Linked DNA regions of Oryzias latipes. The protein of the gene in region 1 interacts with the protein of each later gene in a pairwise test. Links are inferred from orthologs where the notes say so. Each region holds a gene or a part of one and is shown on either strand. Other genes may lie near its edges.

Region 1 (4,200 bases):
ACCCCGTGATAGGCAAAATCCGTGAAGTAGAAACCTTTATTTTTTTTAAACTATTATTATACAATTAAATACTCTATTATACATTGAAAAGAAAGAACAAACCAATTTACAGGCTCAAGCATTTGTTTCACAAATAAAAGTACTTTAGAAACCTTTTTTTCAACAAATAACTCTGTACTGTACTGTCAAATAATAATTTTAATGAATGTGAACAGAAGGCTTCAAATCGCGGAGATTAGCCCCGCCCACCGCGACCCGAGTATTGGATTAAACGGGAGAAAATTTAAAATGATTATGAAAAAAATACAAAGTACAGTGGGACAAATAGTGACTCAGGTGTATTTCACTGCTCTTCAGACTGAGCCGCTGCATCCTGACTCAGCTCTGCAGTGTTTTCTTCTTTTGAAGCCCGCGGTGCAGCTGTGTTTGTTCGGGAGAAGAACATAGTGATAGGCAGTTGTTGTCGCTCTTTTTTCTGCTTTGCAAAAAGATCCTTATACACCGACTTGCCACCATCAAGAGAATTTGCACGTAGTAATGAAAATTTGGCAAGCTGATTTACGTACGTGCACATATTAAACTGCAACGTTATTGACGCACAGGTAGAGAAGAAGCGGAGTGACTTTTTAGCCAATCAGAATGCAGAACACAATGCACCATGCAAATCCGTGAAGTAGCGAAACCGTGAAAAGCAAACCGCGTTATAGCAAGGGATCACTGTATATCCAATTCCTTGTAAAAGTAAACTTGCCTGCACTGGTTCTTCCAACACTCCACTGCAAATAGGACAGAGGAGGTCTTCATCCACCTCACCCTGGAACCTCGTAACATCGTACCCCATGGTACACTACCCACAACCTCCTGAGCATCAACAACAGGTAGCACACAAACAAACAGTAAAATGTCAGTACTTCAAACGGTTGTGATGCACAAAGAAGGAAACAACACAATTGTATTAATACATGTCAATTAATACAATTTTACACTTTAAATTTCAGCATTTAAATGGGAATGATTAATTATATGTAATTTCAATGACTTTAGACTTTCAAATCATTTAGTAATATCTTCATTTACATAAAATAAGTGCTGAAATGGATGTATAAAAGTAGGGCATACTGAGATTTTACCCTTTACACAATTGTTTAAAAACATAAACAAATGGATTTATTTTGTACAACAAAAAAAACATCTACTTCATGTGACCGCATAAAACTGCTTTAGTCAAGGTCTCACAGGGATTTAACTAAGAACAAGAAGTCTGAAAACATCAGTCAGCAAGCTGAAGAAAATTACAACAGCAAGTAATTAAACTGTTTGAGCCCAAATCTGTGCAAAAATGTGTCCATCACCCTTGTTGAGGTTAGTCATCTGAGCTACTAAAATGAAAAGCACAACAGTTTCATGGGAAAAAAAATCTTCAACAAGAAGCTTTGTGGTTTTGGACTACTTAAAAAGCATTGTGTTCATATTTTTCCATGCCATTCATACAATAAAATTACCAAACTTGCAAAAAGGAGAAAAGGGTGAAAACATTATTTCTCTGCATGAGTTACTTTAGTTAAAAAAATGCTTAGTACCTCTTAAATATCTCTCTCTATATATATATCTATCTCTCTCTCTCTCTATATATATTTTTTTTTTAAAGAAAGTAAAACTATACCTATACCTATACAGCTATTTGCTCGTTAATGCTAAAATCTGGCAAATAAATAAATAAAGACCAATGTTAATCAAAAACTTGATGTAAAGTTGTTTGTTATTTGTTTAATTTAGCTTTTTGGGACAAAAAGCATTGAAATAAATTCCCATGTTTGCTGACATATTTAAATAGCTGTGATTTAAAAGAACCCCCAGAAAATCAACTCTTTCCCAGAATTACTGTGTCAAGAACAGATAATATAAGGGGTTTAAGAGCTTTATTTAACCATATATGAAAAGACAAACTATTCGAGACAAAAAAAAATAGCCTACGTGATAACAGTTCTGCTGATGCGCAGCATAAAAAAGCGGTGCCCTTGAGCCGAAGTTGTGTTATTTTTCAGCCGCATCTCATCGGCATCCACATTTATACTGGGTTAAAATCTGAGGATTGGATTTCAATATCTGAGTACTTTCCAAATAGGATACTGACACCAATTCGGTTCGAGTTAGATTCACCTGACAATTCGATTTTAGCATCATTAAACGATAGCTTTAGCAAAAGTTAGCGTACCGCTAAAGCTAGTGTTAGCTACGTGGAGCTCTTTTCCCTTTGACAGTTTACTAATATATAATGTTAAACTATTTTACACAAACACATAAAAGTAAATAACAAATTTAGTGTTTCTTCAGAAAGAAAAATTAACACATGTCACGGGTTATTAGGAACTGACTTATGTCAAATATAGGTATAGGGTTAGCATCTACCAAAACAGTGGTTTTCATGAATGTTAGCACTCAAGCTAACCCGACGGATCTCAGATAGCACAAATATTTATGAAAGCGACTTTAATAAAAAACACTATGAGAAAAATAAAATTCACTACTATACTTACTTAGGCATGAAGCAAAACAGGTCCTTGTCAGGTTTACAAATGTTTAAAAACGTTGTACCTTCGCTAGCAATGTGCTAGCCACGTCTTGCTACATCCTACACTTGAACGTTGGCAGGAAGAGGAGGACTCTACCACAGGTTCTGAAGGTCTATGTCATTCTGTTCTTCAAATCAAACAGTTGATAATATTCCAATGGGGTTTAATGATCACTTTTCCTTTAGCCTGTTATATATGTTATGAAAGATGTGTTCGAAATGAGATTGAAAAACGGAATAGATTTTTGCCGCTGTCCCCTATTCTTGTTTGTAAATTGGTCTATTCCATAGTCTTCGTGCTGTCGAGGACCGATTACGTTTTTTATGTGTTAATTTAACCTTTATTTAACCATATAGAGAAACAGTTATACTTTAAAATGACCACCCAGATGTATTTAGGCATGTTTTTAGAAAACCAGAAAGCGATTACATTCTAAGGATTTTGACACACAATAAAAACTTTTTTCCCAGGAAATATTTTAGTTTTTACAGTATATTATTTTTATTTTGTTTTGTGTAGTTTAATTTGATAGAAATAATTGAAGATATTTCTTTTTGTTTTTAAACTTTTTTCTATCTTGGAAATGTCAGTTACTGTACTTTCTTTGTTCATCTGCCTTTTTCATGAAGTAATGGAACATTTTCTGACATATTTTTTTTATCATGTTAATAACATTATGCCCTGCATACATAGTAAACTTTAACAAAACTTTTCATGATTCTTTACCCAAAGGAAACAGCAGAAAGGAACATGTGAGCCATTGTAAATACAGAGTGTGGGTTCCAGACCATGAACATTTTTCTAAATTCTGCTGCTGGTGATTTGAATGATTGAAATGTCAAAAGACAGAAAACAATTAATTTAATAAACAGGAACCTCAGTAGTCAGCTACAACAGCCTCAGTCGCCACCGGTCCCCAGTTTGGTTACACACTCCTGTGTAATGGCGTCCCATTTTTCATCCAGCGTTTGTTGCAAGTCCAACATTGTTGCTGCATTAGTCACTCCTGCATAAAAAAATAAAAATCACACCCAAAATTGTTCCCTAAATTTAACACTTTGATTGACTTGAAGGCAGAATTGTCAGCAAGGTATTCGACTCTTCCCACTTCCAAATTCAGAAAGTAACATCCATCTACAGTGAGCGGCGGTTTGGCCATCTTTACAGGTTAAATCCTGTGGAGAATTATCTCTGGTTGCAGAATCTCATATTTTTCTTAATTGTGATTAGCTGTTTGCCAAGACAACTGCTGGTCTTATTGCCCTGCAAACATCAACTGCAAATCTGTAAAAAAAAAAAAAAAAAAAAATAGTGCAAATGAGAAGAAAAGGTGTCCTTAGGCTGTCTTCTTGGGACATTGACTTTTTTAGCCCATCTCTGACATTTATTGTTATAAAGTAATAATCTTAGCCTTCAATTTGGAAATGGAAAAAGAAATTATCTTCAACAAATACTGGGATTTAGTTTTGTAAAACACCACTCTGTAGTTGCCCTATTCCATAGGCCAACCCAAAGTAGGTCAATCAGTTGTTAGCAGCAACTGGGAGTACCTACATCTCAGAACAAGAGTTAAAAAATAAAAAACACATTAAAGGCTGCTTGAAATTGTCATTTTTTTATGTATACA
Region 2 (4,498 bases), on another chromosome or scaffold:
CAGACAGCTGCTGGGGTCCACGCCGTGAGCTAGCAGTAGCCGGGTGACTTTCAAGCAGAAGCCGCCAATCTCAGCAGCGTCCTCCACACTGGCATCCAGAGCCTCTTTGACCAGAAACACCAAAGATGATTCAACGGTTTCTCCATCGACTGTTGCAGCGCTAACATCAGAACCTTTAAGGAAAACGTTTTACAATCAATTCTAAAATACCACTGGCACAATTTGAACAGTTGAAGCAAGGAAGCAAGATGAAAAAGATCAGAATGATTTCCTTCTTACCCCTCTCAAGTAGCAGCTGTATGTTCTCGATGTTGTGCACAGTAAGTCCATCGCTGCTCGCTAATGCATGTAGCAGCGGCGTTTTCCCTTTCGATTTGAGAGGAAAGCAACCCTTTTTAGAATTAAAAGGGCACAGATGGATATTGTGGAATGACGTCGGCCGATTTAAACGCACCGTGCTTGTCTCTAGCGTTCACAGCAGCACCGAGGTCCAATAAGGTGAGCAGACAGGGCAGCCTCTCCGACTCCTCACTCGCTAAATCTAAGGGACTGCTCTCGTGAATCTGAAAAGGACATGCAGGATTGTATATTCCCATATCCAGAACAATTGAGAAATGTAGAAGAAAAATTGGTTAAGTTCTCACTCGGTCCCTCTTTTCGATGTCTGCTCCGTGTCCAGCAAGCAGCCTCACCATATTTGGCCGGTTCCTCAACACAGCTATGTGCAGTGGGTTGTAATAGGACACTGGGTCTTGAAAACAAAACAAAAAAAGTTCACATTCATTGATTACAGCGTTTCCTTGTTTACTGTGGGGTTACGTTCTAAAAATAACCCGCGATAGGTAAATCCGCGAAGTAGGATTCCAGATGTTTAACGGCTGTAAAACCCCTCCCTCACTACACACCGTATACATTTTCTCAGACAGACAGGAACATTTTTACTCTTTTCTCTTGTTTAAACTCACAAAATGAATCCAGTGTTATAGAATGAAAAGGTTCATATAAAACTGGCAAACTGCCCACATTCTGTACAGGAGACACAAGAAGGAGATTGACTGACACAAGGCCTTTAGCCAATCAGAACAGTGAACACAATGTCCTGGGGAGAAGAAAAAAAAAGAACAAAAAAAAGTTCAAAATTGCATTGAAAAAATGATTAATGTTTTCAAATGTTGTTAAATTGCTGTGGCAGTTAAAACATGAGAATATTAGATAACATTTCTGAAAACTGTGATCCAAAACCAAAAACAGAAATGAAATAAAAAAAATCCTACATCAACTGTAATAATATTTACTTTAAAACAGCTGTCAAGAAAACATAGTTTCAATTTAAATGCAAAAGAACAGCAAAAACATGATCCGTTTTGAAAACTAACTTACTGCAGCAACTTTATTCATGTTAAACATGAATGAAGCTGTTTCTGCAGGAATTCACTGAGTACATAGGAGAGGAAGTGTGCATCCAAAACCAGTAGAGGTCACCACAGCAGAGACTGACGACAGCTTTGATCAATCCAGTGACAAACACTCATCTTCTCACTGAAATGTCCAATTACTCAACGGCCTAGAGGTGGACTGTCAGCCCCTGAGGGCGGAGCTTAACACTCAGCATCACTGGGAGGGTCAAATGTCAAAAGGTTCCTGAGCGCAGCTAAGAATGTAGCTCACCGGTTCTTCAGGGGACAGGTTCAAAAGGAAGAACAAGCAACACGCACACACGTGTAGGTCAACTGGAGTTGCTTTCACTTAAATTAATACTAGTTTAATACTAATTTGCCAATTTTACAAAATGAATCATCATTAAAATTAGCCCAAAACTGGATTTACAAATGAATGAGATTTCTAACATGACATAAATGGAGGAAAATCATTTAGGCAATAATTACATGGATTTCCACTGGGGAGAAACGTGACCAAATCTGAATATTTACCTTCAAAATTGACATCAGCTCCATAGCGTAGGAGGATTTTGGCAGCATAAGCGAATCCCTGCTCTGCCACCTTAAAAAGTGCATAACTGATGCCTTCAACAAACATCTCTGACTGGGACTCCTGCTCCAGAAGCTCCACTAAAGAGCTGCATCTTCTGGGCTCATCATCGGGACTCCTAACAAGGCAAATAAGAAAGAAAAGGTCTCAATCAAACCTACAGGGCCTTTTTTTTCCCCTCATGATGAGGGAAAAATCAACCATCAATCATCGACCATCTGCTAAATATTGGTTTGGCAAACGTACCAGTTTTCGGGATGCCTGTTGTCTTCCTCCAAACCAATTACGCGCATGACAGCATCTACCAGTGGCTGATATTCATAGATGATTCTCCGAAATCCATGGAGAAAAGGCATGGCTCTTCCGGTCCGGTCTCAGACACGTCTGATTCTAACGCAGGAAAAACGTGTTAGAGACTTTCAAGGTAAGAAAAACGATATTTCGTTCATACAGCACTGTGTAGCCCTAAATTGTTGATATTACATTTTTTCTTCTACTGTTCTTTTTTTTCCAAATATCGTTACACACGATGTAGCCAATCAGAGTTAGCGGCAACTATGATCTATCTCGTTTTTTTTTTTTTTTCGTTTTAAAATTTAAGAGCAGAAACAGAACGTCGTGAGAGTCACGTATGGTTCTAGAACAAATCCTACAAATTACTGCACGATAGACAAAACTGAACATAAGATGAAGTGAGAAGAATTGCTTAGAAAAAAGAAAAACTTGTTCGAATCTTAGCAATTTCACAGCTACTCACAACAGAGTTCCCTCTTCACAACAGGAAGTTGGCCGGCGCTTGATTAATTCCCACTGAAACCACTAGACGCACAATAGTTCCTAGGAAACTGTCCGTTGGGAAAAAATGTGTTTGTGAGAAAAAGAAAAACTTTTTTTTAATGTAATGCCGTTCTTTTTTTTTTTTTTTTTTTTTTTTTTTTTTAATAAGAGTGAGCTAAATTGTACGACGGAGTATTAGGGCCACAAAAAAAAAAAAAAAAAAAAATAGAGCCACCAAAAAAAAAAAAAAAGTAAAATTACGAGATTTTATCTCGTAAATTTAGGAGATAAAAACTCGTAAATTTAGGAGATAAAAACTCGTAAATTTAGGAGAAAAAACTCGTAATTTTAGGAGATTACAGTGGAAGTGAGCATGCAGAGCAGCAGGTGAACGCCGTGCAGCCGCAGAGAAGACCGACTATACTTTGTTGAACAGGTGAGCTGAATGTTTATTGATAACGTTCCAAATGTCTGGAAGGTCATTTGTTTGATTTCCGATTCATTAAAGTTTTATTTATTGATGGTTGGTTTGCAGGATCTCTGCAGCCCGATGAAGCCGTCGTCGGTGTCCCTGCAGCTGTTTGCTTGAATCCTTTCTTCCTCCACCAAAGACAAGACTCTACGTCTGTGTGACGCTTCCGTCACACAAAAGGAGGAGCACTTTTTTTGGCATTTTCAACGTTCCAAAGCCAATATAAAACACTATTTTCATTCCTCTTTATTGTTTTATGCTGAAACGGGACATTTCATCTGCAGGAGGGGGCGTTTGTAAGACTGTTTACTTCCGCATTGGTGTTGGGATGACAGGTTCATGACGTAATGAGACAAATGAACTTCAGGATATGGGAATGAAAAGGAGAATAAAGGCTGCAGCGATTGTCTACACCCAAACGTGTCTCTGAGCTCCTTATTTTACATATTAAACTCCGCTTTACTGACACTGAACCCCGGAAAGACTGCTACACGGAAACTAATCTGATTTTGAGTCGCCAAAAGGTTCAGAATCTCTTTGTTTTACACCTATAATAATCCGGAAATGAAGCTTCACAAAAGGCTCCACATACTTCATCTTCAAGCTAGGTTCCGATAAACGGACAACTTCGGTGTTTTTTCCTTAATCTACGACTTTTTTCTCGTAAATTTATGAGATTTTAAGTCGTAAATTTATGAGATAAAAAGTCGTAAAATTACGAGTTTTTATCTCCTAAATTTACGAGATAAAATCTCGTAATTTTACTTTTTTTTTTGGGTGGCTCTAATTTTTTTTTTTTTGGTGGCCCTAATACTCCGTCGTAAAATTGCAAGATATGTAAAAAGAAAATAGCATATTACCTCTTTTATTTGAAAGCATTTGTAAAACTGTAATTTGTAATTCGTTGGCTAATCATAAATCAAAAGTCTAAATAATGTTTTTGATTTGATTCTAAATAACCCAAGTTGGGCTGTTTTTAATCCAACTCCAAGGTTTAAAAAAGACAAAATTTTTGCAATGTTGTTTTACTTCGAGTAAATAAAACAAAAATTGGGTTAAAAACGAAACCATTGTAACCAAACAAGTAAGTAGTGCTCCAAAAGTAAAACAAAAATATATTACTAACATTAATAACCCAACATTTAGGTTAAAATTAATCTAAGTGTTAGACTTCAAGACATATGTTTGTATTTGAAATGCAAACTCCAGCAAACACTGTAAAAAATATTCAACAAATACTTTTAAAAATCTGTATTTTTT

Evidence for each region.
Region 2: the proteins of rnf41 (region 1) and asb6 interact in binary tests that used the Homo sapiens proteins (3 or more experiments, as listed by UniProt). The link is inferred for Oryzias latipes from reciprocal best matches to the Homo sapiens genes RNF41 and ASB6.

Annotation. Positions count from the first base shown.
Region 1 is NC_019865.2:22,245,507-22,249,706, forward strand, and holds the start of rnf41 (E3 ubiquitin-protein ligase NRDP1), read right to left. Parts: upstream 2,813-4,200; 5' UTR 2,538-2,812; intron 862-2,537; 5' UTR 842-861; coding exon 752-841; intron 1-751. UniProt on the Homo sapiens protein: Acts as E3 ubiquitin-protein ligase and regulates the degradation of target proteins. Polyubiquitinates MYD88. Negatively regulates MYD88-dependent production of pro-inflammatory cytokines.
Region 2 is NC_019867.2:19,701,724-19,706,221, forward strand, and holds the start of asb6 (ankyrin repeat and SOCS box protein 6), read right to left. Parts: upstream 2,866-4,498; 5' UTR 2,747-2,865; intron 2,380-2,746; 5' UTR 2,346-2,379; coding exon 2,236-2,345; intron 2,108-2,235; coding exon 1,932-2,107; intron 752-1,931; coding exon 645-751; intron 564-644; coding exon 455-563; intron 367-454; coding exon 280-366; intron 174-279; coding exon 1-173. UniProt on the Homo sapiens protein: Probable substrate-recognition component of a SCF-like ECS (Elongin-Cullin-SOCS-box protein) E3 ubiquitin-protein ligase complex which mediates the ubiquitination and subsequent proteasomal degradation of target proteins.